Oryctolagus cuniculus: one gene and its partners. The protein of the gene in region 1 interacts with the protein of each later gene in a biochemical or structural test. Links are inferred from orthologs where the notes say so. Each region holds a gene or a part of one and is shown on either strand. Other genes may lie near its edges.

What was found.
Region 2: the proteins of NHERF2 (region 1) and SGK1 form a complex in vitro, tested with the Homo sapiens proteins (2 studies listed by BioGRID, with this or other methods). The link is inferred for Oryctolagus cuniculus from reciprocal best matches to the Homo sapiens genes NHERF2 and SGK1.
Region 3: the proteins of NHERF2 (region 1) and KCNJ1 form a complex in vitro, tested with the Homo sapiens proteins (2 studies listed by BioGRID and IntAct, with this or other methods). The link is inferred for Oryctolagus cuniculus from reciprocal best matches to the Homo sapiens genes NHERF2 and KCNJ1.

The regions. Positions count from the first base shown.
Region 1 is NC_091450.1:33,194,814-33,201,608, forward strand, and holds the start of NHERF2 (Na(+)/H(+) exchange regulatory cofactor NHE-RF2), read right to left. Parts: upstream 4,691-6,795; 5' UTR 4,641-4,690; coding exon 4,428-4,640; intron 2,741-4,427; coding exon 2,540-2,740; intron 1-2,539.
Region 2 is NC_091436.1:34,691,006-34,697,800, reverse strand, and holds the start of SGK1 (serine/threonine-protein kinase Sgk1), read right to left. Parts: upstream 4,122-6,795; 5' UTR 4,078-4,121; coding exon 4,002-4,077; intron 3,875-4,001; coding exon 3,799-3,874; intron 3,422-3,798; coding exon 3,346-3,421; intron 2,972-3,345; coding exon 2,867-2,971; intron 2,755-2,866; coding exon 2,671-2,754; intron 2,554-2,670; coding exon 2,422-2,553; intron 2,204-2,421; coding exon 2,091-2,203; intron 1,771-2,090; coding exon 1,647-1,770; intron 1,216-1,646; coding exon 1,120-1,215; intron 606-1,119; coding exon 450-605; intron 331-449; coding exon 241-330; intron 1-240. UniProt on the Homo sapiens protein: Serine/threonine-protein kinase which is involved in the regulation of a wide variety of ion channels, membrane transporters, cellular enzymes, transcription factors, neuronal excitability, cell growth, proliferation, survival, migration and apoptosis.
Region 3 is NC_091432.1:122,488,325-122,495,090, forward strand, and holds the start of KCNJ1 (ATP-sensitive inward rectifier potassium channel 1), read right to left. Parts: upstream 4,810-6,766; 5' UTR 4,606-4,809; intron 1-4,605. UniProt on the Homo sapiens protein: Inward rectifier potassium channels are characterized by a greater tendency to allow potassium to flow into the cell rather than out of it.

The DNA of each region.
Region 1 (6,795 bases):
AGCGGTGGGGCACGGAGCCACCGCCGCAGCCCACGCGAGGCCGCGTTGCTCGCATTCCTGCTCCCTGCCCCAGCTCCACGCGCTTCCTGCCGCCTGCAGCCTCCCGCCAGGCCCTCCGGCTCCCATGGGCTCCCGGCCAGTCAGCTGCAGAGCCGCGCAAACCCCAGCACACACAGAGGCTGGCATGGGGGTGTCCGGGAGCCATGCTGCCCCCCGTGGTGACTCACCAGCCCTGGCAGAGAAAGGCCAGCATTGTTGTCAGGGGCCAGCGGTTCCCCCGAGGTCCCCCCTGCCACCCGCTCCGTCCCCTCTCCCTATGCTGTGGGGCTAAGCCAGGCCCGGGGGGCCCCCGCCGTCCTGCCATCCCCAGCCCCACCTGACCTGCACAAGCCCCCGACAGGGGCTCCGTGGAGGGGCTCCCGGGACAGGGGCGGGCGGTGTGGCACTGCCGGAGCGGGCCATGAGAGGCGGGACGGAGGTGGCAGGCAGCGGGTGTCCAGCTGGAGTGACCGAAGCTCTGGGGACAGCCGGCTGCCACCCCACTTATCTCCCTCCCACTGTGACCCAGGCTCCCGGGGGGATGGGTGGGGACCTGGGGGCTGAGTCACTTTGGGGAGCAGGGTGGTGCCCGAGCCCCCTCTCCTGCTGAGTGAGGCTCCAGCCGGGCGCCCCCCACCCAGCTCAGTTTCCGTCCCGGGAAAGGAAGGAAGGAAGCGGCTGGGAGGCCCCGCCCTGCTCCGAGACCCAAGGCTGGGAAGACGGGGGCCAGGGAGAGGACCCGGCCCCAGAGCCCAGGGCAGCCCCGCCATGCCTCGGGGGGGGGGGGCAGGGGCCCAGGTGCAGACGCCGCACCCTCCTCAGAAGCACCAGCCCCTTGCCCTTTTCCCCCCAAGGCCCTCCCGGTGCGGGGTGGCTGGGGGCACAGGCTGGGGCTGGCACAGCTGGCTGCCCTGTCGTGGTGTGGGGGCTGTCCCTGTCGTCATGGCTGGGATCAGCTGCACTGCAGCTGCAGCCACCCCAGCCCGGTGTGGCCCAGGGCTGAGTCACCACTGACGAGGCCCTCACAGCCCCCAGGGGGAGGGGCTGCCGCAGCCGTCATCCCCCTGCCCACCTCCCGTCGTCCCGACGCTGAAGGGCAGAGAGGGCGAGAGCGGCCCTCCCCGGACACGGGGCACCGGCCGTGGGCCCCTTGCTGCAGCAGAGCGGGCACTCTCCAGTCCCTGTCCCTGCGGGTGGGCACTGGCCGGCCAGCTGCCCTCAGGCCAGGACCCCCCACACCCAGCCCTGGGAGGCCTGAGCCTTGCTCCTGGAGGTCACAGTGAGCCCAGCACCTCCTGCTGGGGGGGACCCTGCCCCCGGCCTCCTGGCCCTGTCCCCGAGGCCAGCCCGGTTGGCACAGAAGGACCTGCCAGCCGGGGCCCGCCTCGTTCCTCCAAGAATCGCCAGAGGAAGCCGCTCCTAGGGCTTCCTGCAGCCCCCAGAGCTCCAAGGAGCGGAGGGGAAGGCGCGACCCGGGGCACCAGGGCCACCCCACCCTGGGCGGATTTTTCCACAGGAAGGTGAACCGGGCCGTTTGTGTCTAAATCAATGGACAAATGCAGCGGGGTGGGGGGGCTTCCTCCTGGGACAGGGAGGGGTGCCTGAGAAAGACTGCGGCTCCAGGCCTCAGCCCGGGGGCCCTCCCGCAAGGCAGCCGGGCCAGGGCTCCCTGCAGAGACTCTGGCCCTCGTGGCCCTGGGGCAAAAGTCCAGGCTCCAGGGCTCAGCACCTGCGGCCCTGACCTCTCGGAAGGCCAAGAGTGTCCCGTGGGCTCCCAGGCCAGGCCTTGCCCAGGACAAGGAGTCCCACCGGGAGCGCCAGCCCGCCCAGGACGGGCCCCCCGGGGCCCAGCTCACAGCGCAGCCAGCTGTGGTGGGAGAGGGTGGGAAAGGAAAAAGGTCCACGTGAAGGCCCCCGCCCACCCCACACGTTAGGCCCAATACCTCCACTGCCCCCAGGCCGGGGGTTCTCAAAGCGGAATCTGGGGAACCCCTAGGCGGAACCCCCCAAGGGATGTGGTCAACCAAAGAGGTAGGAGACGGCTCTTCCCCAGGGCTCACATGCTTGCCCCGCAGGGTTACTTCCAGGTCCCCACCCCTCCTGCGGCTGGGGGGTCTTTGCTGAAGACTGGGGGAAGGGTGGGCTCGCCCTAGAAGCTTCCTGAACCAGGCTGCGCACAGCAGCTTCTGGGGCCAGCTCTCTCCGAGGGCTTCACCCTACACTCAGACCAGACAGACAGACAGAGACGCAGACGCTGCTGAGGGGCCAGGCTCGCTCCTTCCCAGGGTCCGGTGACTCCGCCCACCGGGCAGGAAGGGCCTCGTCGCCCTGGGCCAGGCTAAGGGCAGGGACAGAGAGCGAGCCGGGAAGGGGGCCGAGCTGTCCTGTCTACCCCCAGTTAGGAACTCGGACTGAGAGAAGAGGGACCCAGAAGGCAGCCGGGGCGGGGTGAAGACTTGTCAAGAGGCCAGGGTGGCCGCACGGGCAGAGGCTGCCGTACCTTCTGGCCAGCGTCAGAGCTCAGGCTGCCTGCACGTGCCCAGTCCGGCTTTGGCTCCCAGGGGTCGTGGGCGGGCGGGAGCCCTCGCTGGGCCATGTCCTCGGTGCAGGTGAGCTGCCGCCGGCGCAGCTCCTCGTCCGTCTCCTTGTCCACTACCAGCAGCCGGGTCTCCCCTTCGACAGCCTTGATCCTCTGCACCACCTGGGGCAGGCAGGGACGGGGGCAGGTCAGCGGCCGGCAGCCCGGGCAGCACGTGGACGGTGGCACCACTCCGGGATGGCCTGGGCTGGCAGGCAGACAGGCAGCCAGGCTGCCAGGGGTGGGCGGCTGGCCCCGCCGGCTCCGCCCCCCGCCCCCGGCTCCCTGACACAGCCAGCCCTGAGCTGCTCTCAGCCCAGGGTGGAGGTGACCAAGACGGCACTGAATGAGCTTCAGGGGCTCGGTCTGCCCGTGCGTGTGCACACGCTCGTGTGTGCGCACCATCTGTTTCCAAGTCTGCCTTCCAGCCCAGGTTGGAGGCGGGAGGTGCTGTCGGGTGTTAGTTTGGCTGTGCATGTTCGCTTGCTTTCAACTTTCTCACGGGAATCTCAACCTGCCCTAGACACAGACCGTCTGCCTGCAGACCACAGACCCACTCCTGCTGGGCCTGCGGACAGCTGAGAGCTGGGTTCCCGCTCAGGCCCCCGCACACGGTCGGGTAAGGAGGACAGCGGGGAGAGGGGCAGGTCTGCCCGTGGCACAGGTGCGGCGTTCCAGGCGCTGTGTGTCTGGGAGCACACAGGGTGCCAGCGTGTGCCAGCAGGGAGAGGGCAGTGCCCACTATGGCCCTCGGCCTGTGGAAGAGCGGAGCAGAAGGCTCCCACCTGCTGCCCAGCTCCCCAGATGCTGTCAAGCAACAGGGGGAGCGAGCCAGGCCCGTCCTCGCCCGGCCCTGCTCCCCGACTTGTGACCCAAACTGAAGCTCCAAGCCTCAGTTTCCATATTTGTAAAGCAGAGTCCCGGCCGCACCTCCTGGGGCTGGGGCTGGGTGTGAAGTTCTCAGACAAGTGCCCAGGGGCCCGGAACAGCAGGTGCAGCTGGAGCGAGGATGGCCATGGCTGTCACACAGAGGCGGGGTGCCAGCTCTGCCAGCCCTGCCTCCCCCACCTGTGGCCCTGACCCCCACTGCACTTCAGCACACAGCACCGCTCTACCCAGCTTCCAGTCTCGCTGGAAGACAGAGGCTAGGGGACCCCGGGAAGCCCGGCCAGTGGCTCAGCTGTCTGCTAACCCCTAGGCCCAGTACTGGCCACGTAGACAGGCCACAGGCTCAGCGGTGCTGTGAGGGACACGGAGCAGCCGGAGCAGCCGGTCCGGAGGGAGGCTGGACTCTGGCCAGGATCTGAGGTGAGTCCCTGGCCAGCGGGAGACGGACATCCCAGGGGTTACAGCCTGCAAGGGAAGAGGCCCTACCCTCTCCAGCTGCAGGAGCAGGGGGCAGTGGCCACAGCGCCCCGAGGAGGGTGAGGGTCGCAGCAGCTATGGAATGTGCCACCAGGGACTGCCAACTCGCACCGGATCCAGGCACCCCGGCTGCAGACACACTGGCCGGTCTACACCGCCCAGACGCGCAGGGGCCTGGCTGCTGGCACCCACACGGGCAGGACCCCGGAGGCCTTGCGCGGTCACACAGTCCCACAGGCTCAGGAAGCACCCGGGTTCACCGACACACAGGCTGGAGCCAGGCGGGGGGAGGGGGCCGAGGGCCGGCTTGGAGCCGCAGTGCGGCCCCTCCCTGCCAGAACGCCTTCCCCCGCGCTGCGGTGCGGGGCTGAGCGTCGCGGGGGAGGTGCGGGGCCCGCCACCCGCAGGCAGCGCCCAGCCGGCCGGGGCGCAGCGCGGCACCCACCTGGTGGTGCGTCTCGCCTTCCACGTTGACGCCGTTCACCTCGACCAGGCGGTCCCCCGCGCGCAGCGCGGCCGCCTCGGCGGGGGAGCCGGGCTCCACGCGCCGGATGAACTGCCCACGGCGGCCCTTCTCGCCATGCAGGTGGAAGCCGTAGCCCTGCTCGCCACGCACCAGGCGGCACAGGCGCGGCCGCAACGGCTCCGGCGCGGCCATGGCGCCCGCTGACCACCGGCCGGCCGCGGGCTGGCCACGGCGCTACGGGGCCCGCAGGCCGGGGCGCGGGGGCGGCGCGGGGGACGGGCGGCCGCCTCGGCGTTGCGCTCGCTCGGCTCCAGTCGCCTCGGGCTCGGGCTCGGGCTCCGGCTCGGGCTCCGGCTCGGGCTGGGGCACCGCCCCCGCGCCCGCCCCTTCCCCGCCCCCGCCGCCCGGCCGCCCCCGCCCCGGGTCCACGACGCGCTGGCCTGGCCCTGCCTCCCGGCCCCAGCTGCCCGAGGGGCTCTGGAGGGGAGGCTTCAGGGCCGGGGAACCCCTGTGTCTGGCAGCACGTTGGTGCCAGCGCTTCTGGCTTCCTGTGCAGGGCCTAGAGCCGGCTCCTGAGCTGGGGGCCAGGTGGGAGACAGTGGCCCCAGGCAGAACCCCCAGGGAGGCCCCGGAGTGAGGCCCTGCCTGCCCTCCCTGGGCGGTCCTTTGCCCACCCGCACGGTTCACCTGCTCCCCAGCCACTGCCCTCACCCCCGGGACCCTCCCGCAGCCAGGGCTGCCCTGCACAGAGCCCCACGACCTGCCTGGAGGCCCCTGGAGGCCGTAGTGACAGGGTGGGCTTTGTGTGCCCGTGGGCTCCCTAGAGGTCGGCCCTCCATTCTCGCACTTGGCTGAGGCCTACCCCAGGCCCCGGCAGACCCTGGAGTCCCAGGCTGCAGGGTCGGTCGGGGGCTGGCCTCCTGCCCCGAGACTTTGGCCTCTGTACTCTGTGGTCAGCACCGGCACACCTGAGCCGAGGTCTCTGGCACCTGCCCCCTGCCTCTGCCACGCCTCCCCTGCCCTGCGGCTGACAACCGCCAGCAGCACTTTGCCTGGCCAGGCCTCTCCAGGTGCAGTTTTACTGGCACAGAGGGAAGCACCCCTCCCCCAGGCCCAGGGCTGTGCGGCCCAAGCCTGCAGCCTTCACGGCTGAGGCCTGAGGCGGCCTGGCCTGCCCCGCCCCAGCCCAGCAGGGACCCCTGCCCATGCCTGCCCCAGGGGTGGGGCGCAGCAGTCCAGACAGTTCCCAGGTGGGCCCCAGTCCTCACCCCTTGCTCTCCCGTCTCCAGTTCTCTTGGCCTGGGCTCTCCAGCCCCCACCCACACCGTGGCCCCCTGGGTGCCCACCTCCAGGAGCTCGTGGCATCGTGGGTGCCCCCACCCTCACCTCTGCAGGTCTTGAGGGTCGGTGCCTTGGGCTGACCACCCGCCTGTCCAGCTGCAGCTGGCACCCTGGACCCTGCGCCCACTGTGTGCCCCCACCCCGCAGCGCCCAGTACCTGCCAGGCTGTAGCTTTGTGGCCACATTGTTTGAGGGGTGAGGAAGTGTTAGGTGGGAAGTTAGAAATGAGCCTGGGTGTGTGTTAGAGCCCTGCCCCAGGGGACGCTCCCCGGGCAATCCGCCCGCCGCCCAGCAGTAACCCTCAGGCCTTCCTCCAAGGCAGGCGCCCTAGGGGAACCTCCCGAGGGCTCCCCAAACCTGGAGAGAAGGGGGAGGGGGTAGAGAGAGAGGCGGGGGCGAGGGAAAACTGGACCCGTCCGTGGGAACCAAGGTCCTGCACTCGGCTGTCTCCTCTGAGCCGCCCGCCAGGCCTGCCAGGCTCCCCGTTCCCCCAGCAGCCTTGCTGCCCCCAGTGTGAGTGACCAGGCATGCGCCCGCTCTCTCCCTGCCGTGGGGACGGACGCCCTGTCCCCAGCAAACCTTGCTACTTAGCGCTGTTGCACGCCTGAACCCCTCAACTCCGCTCACAGAAGGCCCTGGTCCCTCCTCCCTAAGGCAGACCACCACCACCCACCGTGGCCCCAGACTCAGCTGTCTGTCGCCACCCGCCGTGCCCAGGACTGGGCTGCCTGTCACCGCCCCCCCAGGCCCAGGACTCGGTCACAGCCCCCCCCCCCATGCCCAGGACTGGGCTGCCTGTCACCGCCCCCCCCAGGCCCAGGACTGGGCTGCCTGTCACCGCCCCCCCAGGCGCAGGACTGGGCTGCCTGTCACCGCCCCCCCCCAGGCCCAGGACTCGGCTGCCTGTCACCGCCCCCCCCCATGCCCAGGACTGGGCTGCCTGTCACCGCCCCCCCAGGCGCAGGACTGGGCTGCCTGTCACCGCCCCCCCCCCAGGCCCAGGACT
Region 2 (6,795 bases), on another chromosome or scaffold:
TGATGAGGGGGATGGTCACCTTTTGTCTTTGGGGACTTTCATTGACAAATGTTTGAAACAGTGACCATAACTTTGGCAGGACAAAAAAAAATACTCTACTTTTTCTTTGGGAAAATGATGGGTCTATGAATAAAGTACTGGCAATTTCTTCCTTGAAGTCCCCTCCCCTCACCATCCAACAGTTCTTAGAAGAAAGGCCCTCTGGGCCTCAGACTAGTTAGGCGAGAGAGAGATACTCACAACATTTGGGTTAAAAGGAGGCGTAATCTTCTTATTAATGAGATCGTCCCAGTTAATTAGAGAGAAGAAGACGTGATTCCTAATCTCCATCTGTTGGGAAGAAGCCCATGATTAGTTCAAACGGGTGGAACTCAGGTGAAGGCAGGGAGGCCCCGCGTGCTTCCCGGAGGGCGGGGGGGGGGGGGGGGAGGGCAGTCACTGTCACTCACAAAGTCATCCTTGGCCCCGAGTCTCTTTGTCCTGTCCTTCTGCAGGAGGCCCTCCAGGAGGTGTCTTGCAGAATTGGTTATATTTGGTTTCAGCTGGAGAGGCTTGTTCAGAATGTTGTCGTACATCTCAGCTGTGTTTCGGCTATAAAACGGAGGCTGAAAGAGCGAGGGAGGGCACTCACTTAACTGGAAGTTCTGTGTCACAGCCTATCAGCGAAGAAAGACTGAAACTAAACTAGCAGCAGGCTGGATTGGAGAAAGGACGTTTTCTTTTGCCCTTGATTTTTTTTTTTTTTTTTTTTTTTTTTTTTTTACAGGCAGAGTGGACAGTGAGTTGCCCTTGATTTTTAAGTGTCTGTTTTGCAACCCTTATAGGGAAGGGGTGGGTGCGATAAGCCATGGTTTTCACCATCACCCAGCTTAAATGTTGTCCTGTGTAGTACAATGTGAAATGGACAAGAGAAAAGTCCAGTAGGTAGGAGATTACTCTCATAAAATAATCAACATGCTTCTCCTATTAGCTCTTGATAGCTAAACCTTATAGACAAGGGCAAGACCAATGCCAGGCCTGCATGTCCTCCCGTGTGTGGGTTAAGCGGGGGTGGCAGAATGTTCTAGGGCGTATCACTGAGGTAGAGGCAGTACCCGTGGTTCCCTGTGTGCGACTCACCAGGCCATACAGCATCTCATACAAGACGGCCCCCAGGCACCACCAGTCCACCGTCCTGTCATAAGGCTGCTTATGAAGCACCTCAGGTGCAAGATACTGAAAGACACAACAGGAAAACAGAGCTTAGAACCTGCAAGACCGGGCAATCCCAAGAGCAGACATGTACTCTGCAAGGACAGACCCAGAGGCAACTCAGGACGTATTCCTTCAGATTACTGCCCGACAAAACCGCTATCCTTTCTGAGGCTAACCGGCCACCTCTGGGTGCCTCTATTTAGGAAGCTACTGGGTAGCTAACAGTTATCATCCTTGGGGGTTTAGAAACCCTTTTATGATGTGGCTCCTACAGATAGGTCATTTCAATGACAGCAACAGGATGTCTTAGAATTTCTCACGCTGCATGCACCAAGCCATGAATGTAATTTGCTCTCACTGAGCTGTACTAAGCACATTTCTGAAGAGTTCAGGAAGTTAGAAGCACTGTGGCACTAGTCTCTCCTGGACGGACTGAGCAAGCGAGCGCCTACCTCGGGTGTGCCGCAGAAGGTGGACGTCGTGCCGTTGTGTTCAATGTTCTCCTTGCACAGCCCAAAGTCAGTCAGGACGATGTGTCCCTGTGAATCTAGTAGAATATTCTCCGGCTTCAAGTCTCTGTAAAAAATGAACAGAGGAGTAGTTGCTGATGTTAATTTCAGTTCATAACAAGTCCTCTGTGAAGCTAACTGCTAAGGGCATTAGGTATTTTAAATTCACTGCAGTTGTGCAGTGAATAAAAAAAGGGAGTCCTTGTTCTGCTGATCTAGTCTGGATTAGGGACAATCCCAGTTGGCCAGTTCCCTAGTGGCATGGAGTCAAGGCAGCTCACGTGCTGGGGGATCTGGTTTTAGGGGACCAGGTGCACGCACACACACTCTCTCACACAATCTTAAGGCTCCCTCAAGCAGGAGGGCTACCAGGGCTCTTTGGCTCACCTATAAACGATGTTCAGAGAGTGCAGGTAACCCAAGGCACTGGCTATCTCAGCAGCATAGAAACGAGCCCGTGGTTCCAGGAAGCAGCGCTCCCTCTGGAGATGGTAGAACAACTGCAGGAGACAGGACAAAGTTAGTCTGGGCTGCCAAAACACTTCACTAGTGACATATATAGCTAACGAAAACAATCGCAGGAAGTAGCCCTAGGTAATCTATTAACTATTTGAAGCCCGGCAACTTTTACCCCCTAAAGACCTTCGAAAACTTCCTTTTTAGACTAAAAAACCAAGCAGGCTGTGCAGAGACCGGCCCCTGCTCCCCACTCGCTCACCTCTCCACCGTTAATGTAGTCTAGGACAAAGTACAGCTTGTCGGCCGTCTGGAAGGAGAAGTGCAGGCCCACCAGGAAAGGGTGTTTCACGTTCTTCAGCAGCACGTTCCGCTCAGACATAATATGCTTCTCCTAGGAGGATGACAACCCAGACTGAGCGACAAACTTCAACTTGGCACCCACTCCCAAGGCAAAGCTGATTCAGTGAGCGTCCACTCACAGCTCCAACCCACCAGCCCCTTCTCCTACCTCCTTCTTTTTCAGGATTGCTTTTTTCTGCAACACCTTGACTGCATAGAAGGCTTCCTCTGCTTTGTGTCTCGCTAGTAGAACCTGAAATTGCAATAAGAAAAAAAAAAATCATCCTTTTTGGGTCCTCATCCAGGGAGAGTGTAAAATGAACACATACGAGAGTATATACAAAGGTCTCCGGATCTGAAATTACCTTTCCAAAACTGCCCTTTCCAATCACTTTTAGGAAGTGAAAGTCTGATGGTTTAGCATGAGGGTTTGATGATGGGCCAAGGTTGATTTGTTGAGATGGACTTGGCTGAAAAATAAAACATTCTCCTTTAGTGTCACCGCTTTCAAAGGCAGACGTCCACAATAAAGCATAAAAGCTGGATGCAAGTCCCATACGTCTATCAACGCACTCAAAACTATTTTTCAACCACACCATGTCATTATTTCAAGTGAGTATGGAGATTAAACGGATAAAACTTTTATGAAATATGCCTTCAGACAATACTCCACTGACTCAATACTTAACTAGTTATGTCACCTGTTATGTCCTTAACTAATGAGACATTCCTGCCTTCATACTAATTTCCAGAAATGCTATTTTAATCCATCAATGTAGGGATACTAGGTGACTCACTTAACAATTCTCCCCCATAGATGCTTCACAAACGGAACGATACTCACCGGAGGCGAAGGGTTGGCGTTCATAAGCTCGGGCTCCTGAGGTTGGGAGATTTTCAAAATGGACTGAACTTCAGTGCTGCAGAGGAAAAAAAAACACACACACGTTGGAGCCTCCTCGCGCCCCACTAGGGGGCACAGCAACACCACCAGTTGAGTTTCTGGCTCGAAGTTTCCCCGGAGAATCCAGGACTTCAACTGCAAACACCCAAAATCATCTACTGGGCCCTTTGAAGCCAACAGTGAGCCCAGCTGTGTACAGAAATTGAGGTGGTTTTTCACGCGGAGGGCGGGCGACAAGGAGGCAAGCCCGTCTCCGTGTTAAAAACGTCTCAAGTAAACCAGGATTTGAGGAGAAATGAGATCTCCACCCCGACGTAACCCAGCGAGGGGAGACGACTCTGCTACCCTGCCGGCGCTACTGACTTTAATTCCCGCAATCCCACCCGAACTTACTGCTTGCACGCATAGGAATTATTAGCGATCTTCTGAATAAAGTCGTTCAGGCCCATCCTCCTCTGCTTCATGAACGCTGTGAATGAAAGAGGAGAAATAAACGAATGCTCAGATGGCTTCGTAACGTCCGCCGCCACACACACTCCGTGATCCGCGACCTTCCGAAAACTCGCACCGCGCGGCGGCCTGACTCCTGCACTCACCGATGAGGATGGCCACCATGCCCCTCATCCTGGAGTAAGTGAGGGGGCCCCTAGCAGCCTCGGTTTTCACGGTCATCGCCACGGTGAGACCACAGCGAGTCGTTGGGAATGAGAGACCGGCTCAGCCAACTCTGCGCTCGGGCCGCGCGCCCGGCTTTATAAAGGCTGCGCCGGCAGGGGAGGGGCCCGACCGGCGACAAAGGAGCGGCGCGGCCCCGCCCCCCAGCGCAGGCCCCGCCCCCGGCCGCCGCGCCGCGTCCCGGCGGGACGGCAGCCCGCGGCGGGCGGTTCTGTCCCCAGCCTGAGGGCGAGCCGCGGGCGGAGGTGGGGGACTCGGGAGCCGCCCGGGGAGGGCAGTTTCGCCAGTGTTCGGCGCCCCGGGGCGCGGGCGGAGGTGGCGGGAAAGGATGCGGAGTAATTTTCCATTTTTCTCATTTATTCCGTTCGGCGAGGAAGTCAGGGTAGCAGCGCCGAGCTGCCTTCCGGACGCAGCCCGGCGGGCCGGCGGCCCTGCGCGAGCCCACACCCTCCCCCGCAGTTGCACTCTCTCGGCGATAGATAGCCCGGGACCCCCGCCCCGGCGCCCCCCGGTTTCCTCCCCGCCGAGGCCGGGCGGAGCGTGCGACCGCCCGGGAGTTCTCTCAGGCGCAGGCGTCTCAGCGCGCCCTCATCTGCAGGGTCAGCGCGGGGCCGGAGCTCCCGGGCCGGTCCTCCCCGCTCCCGCCGCCCGGTCACGCCGCTCTCCGTCCACCCCCCACCCCTTCTCCCGAGCCCGAGAACCGGGCCGGAGCCATGCGCCCGCGCGCACCGGAGGAGCCAAGTCCCCGCGGGGGCCGAGGCGCGCTTACCCAGTCCGCTCAGCAGGAAAGACTCGCTCCTTTTCTGCGCCTCGGCCCTCTTTTTGTGGCGGGGCCGGAGCAAGGACTCGAGCCGGGCCCTGGCGAGCGCTCCCTGCATCTCCCCCATGGGCAGCGGGCGGCGGGCGAGAGCGACCGGAGAGCACTGACGTTTCCTTGAAGGAGCCGCCGTGACTCAGGCCGGGCAAGATTTCCTGCCCGGGTCCCAAAACAAACAAATGGCCCTTGTGCACGGCCGAGCCGCTTCCGAAAACGCCTTTTTTGTGCTTTTGGCCAAAACCAAGCAAGGCTGGAAAAAAAAAAATCCCAGAACTTGGAAGAGGAGGAAGGAAGGAAAGAAGGAGGGAAAAGGGGGGGGAGGGGAGTCAGGAATGTGTAGGGGAGGGGGCGGAAGCAAAATTCGGCTCTGCATTGAAGACAAAGTGCAATCTGCAGCCCCCCCCCACCCCTTTTGTAATTTCTAGAGAACATTCTGTCCGTTTTGCGTGCACTTTTTTTCCCCCTTGCATTTTAATCCGCGCCACGCCGAGAACACGTGAGGAGGCCGGTGAGGGCGGCGGCGGCGGCGGCGCGGACCTGGCGTGACCCGGGCGGCAGAGGGCGGCGGCGGCGCCCGGCCCGCGCCCGCTGCTCTGCCGCCTCAGAACTCCGCAAGGTCAACGCTACCCTGTCTTAGAATCCCTTCGTTTGCCCTCCTCGTCCCTGCCGCCCGCAGAGTCGCCTGCGTTGGGCTGTTTCCCGCAAAGTGGCGTCTCCTGCACCCCCACAGGGACGAGCCGGTGACGGCGCTCCGGCGCGCGGACCGGGGCTGGAGGCTGCCCGCGGCGGCCGGGCTGTGCAGGCGGCGAGGCCGCTGCCTTCCAGTAACCCCGTCGCTGGGAGCCGCCGGGGCGCTGCAGCCCAACCGCGGGCGCGGGGACGCGCGCCAGCGCTGGCCGGGGGGTGTCTCTGGCTCAGACCTGGCCGGGAGCGGCAGAGACGGCTGCAAGTTCCCCCTCTTCGCTGGGCCGGGTACCTGGCGCTCGCCGCTGCCGTCTGCGGTGGCTGCCCTGCCCTGACCCCTTGCTGCCCTGCCATTTTAGAGTTTGCCTACTGGAGCCTCCACACTCCCAAACACCAGCTGTCGACCCAGGAATAGCCTGCGAGGCGCTTTTTCCCTTGGTCTTGGGCAAGGATTTGTTGTGCAGGCACAGCCACCTCGTTTGCCCTAAAATGATCTAGTCTGGTATCCTGCTTGGGTTTTTCGGTCGCAACAGCCCCAGCTCGGGAGAAGAGAGCATGCATCCTTCTCTCTCTTGGAGACTGGTTGATGAAGTTTGCTTAGTGCTGCTCTCTTAACACAGCACGGGCTCCAACTTAAAGCAAGGTTTGGGTAATTCCATATCATAGTAATTGGCCCGTGTCTGCTTCCTTGTGAACAGATTCTGCCCAGAATACCAGCTATTGCCATTGTACCCCTGGCCCATGTTCTGCCAGTCAACCAACCCAGCCCGGTCCTGTTCCCACCTGTTCCTCGCCAAGTCTTGCCTTGACAAGACAGCAAACATCACTCAGACTGCCTACAAACATCAATCTGCCCGAAGAGTCTTGCCTTTTGTTTTAAAACACTAAATTAAGAAATCAAAATCCCCGCCCTTCCCCCCCTCCCTGCTCCTCACAGGTGCCTGGCCCATGCCCAGTAATTTCAAAACCTCTGGGCATCCTTGTGTTACCGGCTCCATCCAAATCAGAGTTCGGAAAGCACTAACCTTTCAAAGGGGATTTGATAGCCTCCTCTTTCATTCTTCAAGCTGCCCAGGATATAAGGTGGAGGACTGATTTCTGGAGGCTGGAGGTAGTAAAGCTCACTTGTGATGGGACTTGCCTCCCTGCTTCTGTCTCTGAGATGATAAGGGAGGCTGAGCCAGAGGCCAGCTGTCCCGGTTCTGCTGCGAACC
Region 3 (6,766 bases), on another chromosome or scaffold:
AGGGAGGGAGTGATTGGGAGGGGAGACAAGCTTCTCTCCTCACACACCTCATCCCCCTGCAGCTGCCCTTATCACAGACACAGTGGGAGAACCCAGTTAGAACGTGCACAGTCGGCCCTCTGTGAGGCAACATGGCTGCATTGATGCCTGCCATTCACACACCCTCCCTGTGAGACTGAAACTTCTGCAGTACAGAGAGTGTGTCTCTGCACTTCACAAGAACCAGCAGAGTGGGCTTCCCAGACATCTTCTAAAGCAATCCTACGGCTGTGCCTGTGACGTGTCTCTGAACCCAGTTCAAGCCGTCCATACTTGATGCATAATTCATGAGCAGTCCAGCCCTGTAGCACATCAGAATACCTTGATCCCCGAAATGGTTGACCGCACCTGCAGGCGTGGGACTGGGATCGCTCTTATCTCTGAACATCTCACCACTGGGCTCGGACTTCACGGAGTCTTTTCCCGCGAGAAGCCAATAGCAGGCATTCGTAGTTCCCGGAGCCCCTCAAGGACAAATGGCTGATCTGGATAGGGCCAGAAATCTCCCGAGAATTTAATCAAGGGCAACGAAGCATGAGACTTCCCCTGGGGGCGGTCAGCTGAGGGAGCTGTGGCTTTCCTGGCTCTCCGGGGACCACATTAACCTGTTGCTTTCAACTGCCTTGTGTTGCTCATTTACATCTCCTCCCGGGGGATGGAGCGGGCACGCCGATCCTCCCCCGCGAATGTGATTCCTGAAATGCAGCCAAGACACATGGGGGATTGTGCAACTGGAGGAGAGGGAGGGGCAGGGACGTTGGGAAATTCTAAAGAAATGGAAAATTCTGCCTTGTATTTCAGAGTATTTGCAACCAGCCTCTTAGCAGCAGAAAGCAGGTCACGTGTGTCTCCTTAGCACGTGTGTCTCTGCAGAGCAGAGCGTGGGCCAGACTCGGCTGCCCACTGGGAACTGATGGAGGAAGATAGCAGCAGGTTCGCTTCAGGGAGGAAGTTATTGACCCTCAGCATCACCAGGGGAATTCAGATGGAACGCTGCCCTGGGGCCTTTGGGAAGCCACTGCCCTCCTCGAGGGGGACTCGGGCAGCCCTCGGAGTGAAGAGAAAAATCCTAAGTCCCGGCTCTGCCTCCTACCACCTGTGTGACTCGGCCCAGGGCTTCCCAAGCAGAGTGTGCCGCATGGGCCATGTGTCCCCATACGCTGCTCCCTGCATCTGCGGGGCTCGCGCGGGGGCCCGAGACAACAGCCTTCCCCGTCACCCCAGCACGCCTGACAGCACGCTGTTTGCAGGCAGCAAACGGCAGGCACAGCAGCAGTTAGAGGGCTCCCAGCCGTCCTTTTATCGTTCCTGACGTGGTCTCAACCTCAGGCTTCCACACGCTGAGGGGCCACGTGCTTTTCTGCCCTGCCTTTGACAAGGCTGCAGTGGGGCTCAGCAGAGACTGGAGCCAAGGCTGACCACACAGCCAGGGCAGTGCCTCCCTGGGGACCTGAGCACCCAGGATACTGAGGTCTCTCTCCTTGCTCCCACACGTGCATGCAGTGCCACGGTCCCGGGAGGCATCTGAAAAGCTGGTTCTCTGGCCAACGCGGGTCCTGCTGCCCATCACGGCTGGGCGCCGTGAACCCATCACACAAAAGCACAGGTGGACGTGAGCATAAGCATGAAGAAAACCACCCCTGCCATCCACAGTGTGCCATCGTGTGGCCGCGTGCCTGCTCTTACCTTTGACCAGTGACATTAGCCTTGCTGCGAAGAGGCTGGAATAAAAAATAAGACGTGTGGACTCTGGGGACGTTTCTGGGTCCCAGGCTCCCTCTTCCCAGCCCCGTGTCATCCTCCTCTGCCCCCTCTCACTCTCCATAGCTTTTTGGCCACCAGACTTTGTGCCTGTGTCTCCTTAGGACCCTCCTACTGGTTTCCTTGGCCATGGTCTCACCCGATTCCTGTCCATCCCGCATTTTGCAGACCAGATAGCCTTCCCTACATGGGCATTGATCTGAGCAAGGTTCCCAAGTGTGTCCTGAGCATGGCCCACCAGGAGACCCTTCCCCAAATGTGACTTCTCTCCTCTGTTTATTTGTACCTTCACTCACCACCCGCCTCAGCCACACAAGCTTGGTATATCCCTGGATATGCTGGGCTCTTTCTCAGGCTTGTGTAGTTTTGTACATGCCATTGTTCTAGAATGTTCTTCCTCTTGCCCCCACCAGGCCCGATCTTGCCTGCCGAGGGTGTCGAGGACTGTTCTTCTTTGGTATGCTGTACTTCCTGCCCACACAGCCAGTGCACCATGGGTGGAACTGTGCAGAAGTCCTTACACAGCGGTGTGTCCCCCAGCAGAGGGCAAGCAGCCTGTTTCCTTGTCACAGCCCTGCGTGGTGCTATACGCATCCAGAGTGCTGCATCGTTGGCCACTGCAAGCATCCTGTCATCTCCCAGGACCATACAGATTCCAGAACATGGTGCACGCTTACTATACATGTACTGGAAGGCAAATGAGGGGAAGGCCTGTACCCAGGATACCACCACACATATACAAGGAGAAGGAGAAATGTGAAGAAGAGACCAGTAGTACCACTGCACCCTTGGATAGCCAAGGGCAGGAAATTTGGGTCAAACTCAGGGTCAGACTGCGGAGAAGCGTAAGCTATTCCGGCAAGAGCTCCGCGAGAAGGAAATAGGAAGTCTTCAGGCCCCGCGAGCCCTGGGACAAGCAGGAGGCAGGGCATGTGAGTCAGAGCTGCATCCTTTGGAAAATGACTGAGCTGTGAGCAGGTCCAGGGCCATCTGCAGCCTAGTGTGGAATGAGAGGTTGCTGGGAAAAGGAAAGGGACATGCATGGGAGTTCCGAGTCTCAGATCTCTCTGCAGCAGAGCACGCTTGGCCATTACAAGTATCTTATGTAAAGAAAATAAGAGAGCACCAAGCAGAAGCCACCAACAACGTCAAAGCGCCAAGAACTGTTCACAAGTAATCTTTGCTGCTTTGCCAGCTCCATCTTTTTTTTTTTTTTTTTACTTATTTGACAGGTAGAATTAGCCAGTGAGAGAGAGAGAGACAGAGAGAAAAGTCTTCCTTCCGTTGGTTCACCCCCAAAATGGTCGCACGGCCGGTGCTGCGCTGATCCGAAGCCAGGAGCCAGGTGCTTCCTCCTGGTCTCCCACGCGGGTACAGGTGCCCAAGGACCTGGGCCATCCTCCACTGCCCTCCCGGGCCACAGCAGAGAGCTGCACTGGAAGAGGAGCAACCGGAACTAGAACCCGGTGCCCATAAGGGATGCTGGTGCTGCAGGCGGAGGATTAACCAAGTGAGCCACGGCGCCGGCCCCCAGTTCCATCTTGCACCTACACTGACTTGGTGCGCTTCCTTCCTTACACAGAAGACATGCTGGCTGCAGCATGGAAAACAGCCAGATTTCTGATGGCTTATACCTTCCCAGATACCTCTACCTCATTGTACTTTCCCAAACTGAAGCTGGCTTGGTGAGAATGCATTGATCCCAAACAGCATAGAATGAGACCCTGCAGGCGCAGCCCAGGACTGAAGGAAATGTGTAGGGACTGGGGAGTCAGGTAATCCACACGCATCACAGCCTCCTAACTACAATCACTAAGTTTTGCTTTGTTCTCTATGTCTGATTAACAGGATTAAAGACAAATGTTTTACCTAAAGTTTGCAAATTCCAAAAGCCCAGCTTGTTTTGGGCCACTAATGCCTAGAATCTGTGAGACACAGATGTCACAGAGCATTTGTCCTAGGAGAGCCGAACAAGTGTTGAGAAATCGATCACCTTCACTCTGAATGGGGCAAGATTCTGCAATGTGGATGCCTTTCCCAAGCAGACACCAGCTTTTTTTTTTTTTTTTTTTTTTTTGGACAGGCAGAGTGGACAGTGAGAGACAGAGAGAAAGGTCTTCCTTTGCCGTTGGTTCACCCTCCAATGGCCGCCGCGGCTGGCGTGCTGCGGCCGGCACACCGCGCTGATCCGATGGTGGCAGGAGCCAGGTACTTCTCCTGGTCTCCCATGGGGTGCAGGGCCCAAGCACTTGGGCCATCCTCCACTGCACTCCCTGGCCACAGCAGAGAGCTGGCCTGGAAGAGGGGCAACTGGGACAGAATCCGGCGCCCCGACCGGGACTAGAACCCGGTGTGCCGGCGCCGCAAGGCGGAGGATTAGCTTAGTGAGCCGCAGCACCGGCCCCAGACACCAGCTTTATACTCTGTCTTGCAGATGAGAAAGGCCTGAGAGGGGCCCCACCACTAAGCAAGCTCTTGCAGCAACAGGAAGATGCCCCGACGCCCCGAGACAGACACCCTGCGCCCCTGTCTGTCCCCAGCAGGAAAAGGCTGCACCAAGTGTAGCGCAAGCGAACGGAGGCTTCCGCTGCCTCTGGCTGTGGCACTGGGAGACGGCCAGGGCGAGGAGGATGCAGCTCCCACGTGAGACCCACGGGTCAAGAGCATCAAAGAAGAGAACGAAAACCACACTTTTATCCCCTGGGAGTGGAGGGACAGGTCTGTCTGGATGGAGAAAGGGCTCAATTTCCACAAGAATTCACTCCTTTTGTCTACAAAGAGACAATGGGGGGTTTCTCCCCTTACCTCATGGATTGCCAGAGTGTATGTGGAGACGAAAACTCATTTTCTTGGTCCCCAAGAAGGCAGCTGATTGTTGAGGTGAGCGAGTCCTTGCCCCTTTGGTCGAAGAGTTTAGCTGTCCCGGATGAGGGTACCGGAGGCCCTGTTGGTTTTTATGGGTCTGTGGGTCGGCTCAGACTGGCTGCCGACTCATCTGTATGCAACTGCACTCAAAGAACATGGTTTACTTTATAACCGGATCCAACAAGAGTAGGCGTGCCAGGTAAATGGGCTAGGTACACCAAAGGTGTTGAGCTGCCAAGGCTAATTAAGAAGAATTTGTTTATGGAGCTGTGGCTTGGAACCAGAAGGCCGATGTGCTTAGGCTGGTAGTGTCAGAGTCAGGTGCGTGAGACTGAGCGCGTGTGAACACAGGGTTAGATGAGCCAAGATGGAGAGGGGCCCTCAGGAGCCCCTCTGAAGTCTCTCCTGCTCAGGGACTCACTCTGTGGCCCTCGATGGTCAGACTCACCTTCCCTCAGCCCTTCAACTGTCACTCTGGTCCCAGGACAACATAGAGCTTTATAATAGGCTTTGTGGGTAGGGCAGTGAAGACCTGACTTCACCAACAATGAAACCTGGGGCAAGGGTCCTAACTTTCCACCCACCCAGAGGTGGGATGGAGGGTGGTAAGAGAATGCAAGGAATGCACTTGCCATTGAGTAAGCACAAAGGTCAACTTGCTCCAAGTGTCAACATTCTCTCCTTCCATCACCCCCTCCCAACCTTCTAGGGTCATCTCTCTCTGATTCTAACTAGGAGAGAGAAAATCATCTCCCATCCCTCCTTGGTTTGCCTCTTCCAGGCGTTCATCCAGGTCATGGTGTCCTCCATGAACCCACTTCGTTGCTGTGGTCACCACTGGGAGCATCATGTATCTGTCTCTTTAAGAAGGTGCTGCTCATTTGCATGGAGCGACAGTGGTAAGTATGGGTAGGCTACACACATCTTTACTGTCTGTCCCCTTCGCTTAACACACTGCACACGGTGATATGAGATGTCAGCCTTTATTCAGGAGTCAAAGTGACGAGAAGAATAGGAGGAAAGTCCAAGCAGCACATATCCAGCTTGGACGGCAGATGTCAGAGGCTCTGACCCCACAGGACTTGCCTATATCGCATGGTCTCAAAGGGAGTGAAGCAGAAACTGACGCACCACTGCATGGGACAGGGCGATTTTATTTTCTGACACTTGGAAGTATAGCCAGTTGTTATTGAGAAGAAGAAAGGAATATAGTAGATTGCTATGGTCTGACAGTGTCCCCCAGAATTCATGCGTTGAAATTTAATTTCCAGTGTGATGGTTTTACGAGGTCATTAAGTCATGAGAGCAGAGCCCGCGGGGATGGAATTAGGGCCCTTGGAAGGGTTTGAAAGGGAGGACCGCTGTACCCTGCAGGGGGGACCTGGGCTCCTTCCTCTTTCCTCCAGTCTGTCTCCCACCATGTGAGACCCACGCACTCAAGCTGCGGTCTTGGATGGAGAATCCGTAGGGTTCCCAGAAGTGTAAGCAATAAATTCTGCTGCTTCTAAGTTACCCAGTCTCATATATTTTGTTATCGTAACACAAAGAGACTAAGGCATAGGCATCTGGGAAACCACTGAGGGAGTGCAGTCTGATGGTAAGAGCCCTGTGCAAAGAGGTGGCAAAGCCTTAGCGGAAACAGTGGGAGGAGCGATTCAAAGCATGAGCTGGCCATGGCCTCTCCCTCCACACAGGGTCCCCCCGTGGACCACCAACCAGGCCCCGCTGTTGCTCCACATCCCTGGGCTCACCCCAGTCTCCGAAAGTTCCTTCTTTCACAGTCATTCTGCTGACCTGTGTGGTCTTCTATGTACCTTTGCGGGTCTCCCAACCCCATGCCCAGCTTCTTGTCTCTTTTGTTCCTGAATGCCAGAGACCCCCCCCCCAGCTGCCCCCTCCCAATTTTGCTCACCTGAGCATTTGCCCTAATATAGTCTTTTCATTCTTTTTTTATTTATTTATTTATTTATTTATTTATTGACAGGCAGAGTTAGAGAGAGAGACAGAGAGAAAGGTCTTCCATTTTCCATTGGTTCACCCCCCCCCCCCAAATGGCTGCTACCGCTGGCACGCTGTACTGATCTGAAGCCAGGAGCCAGGT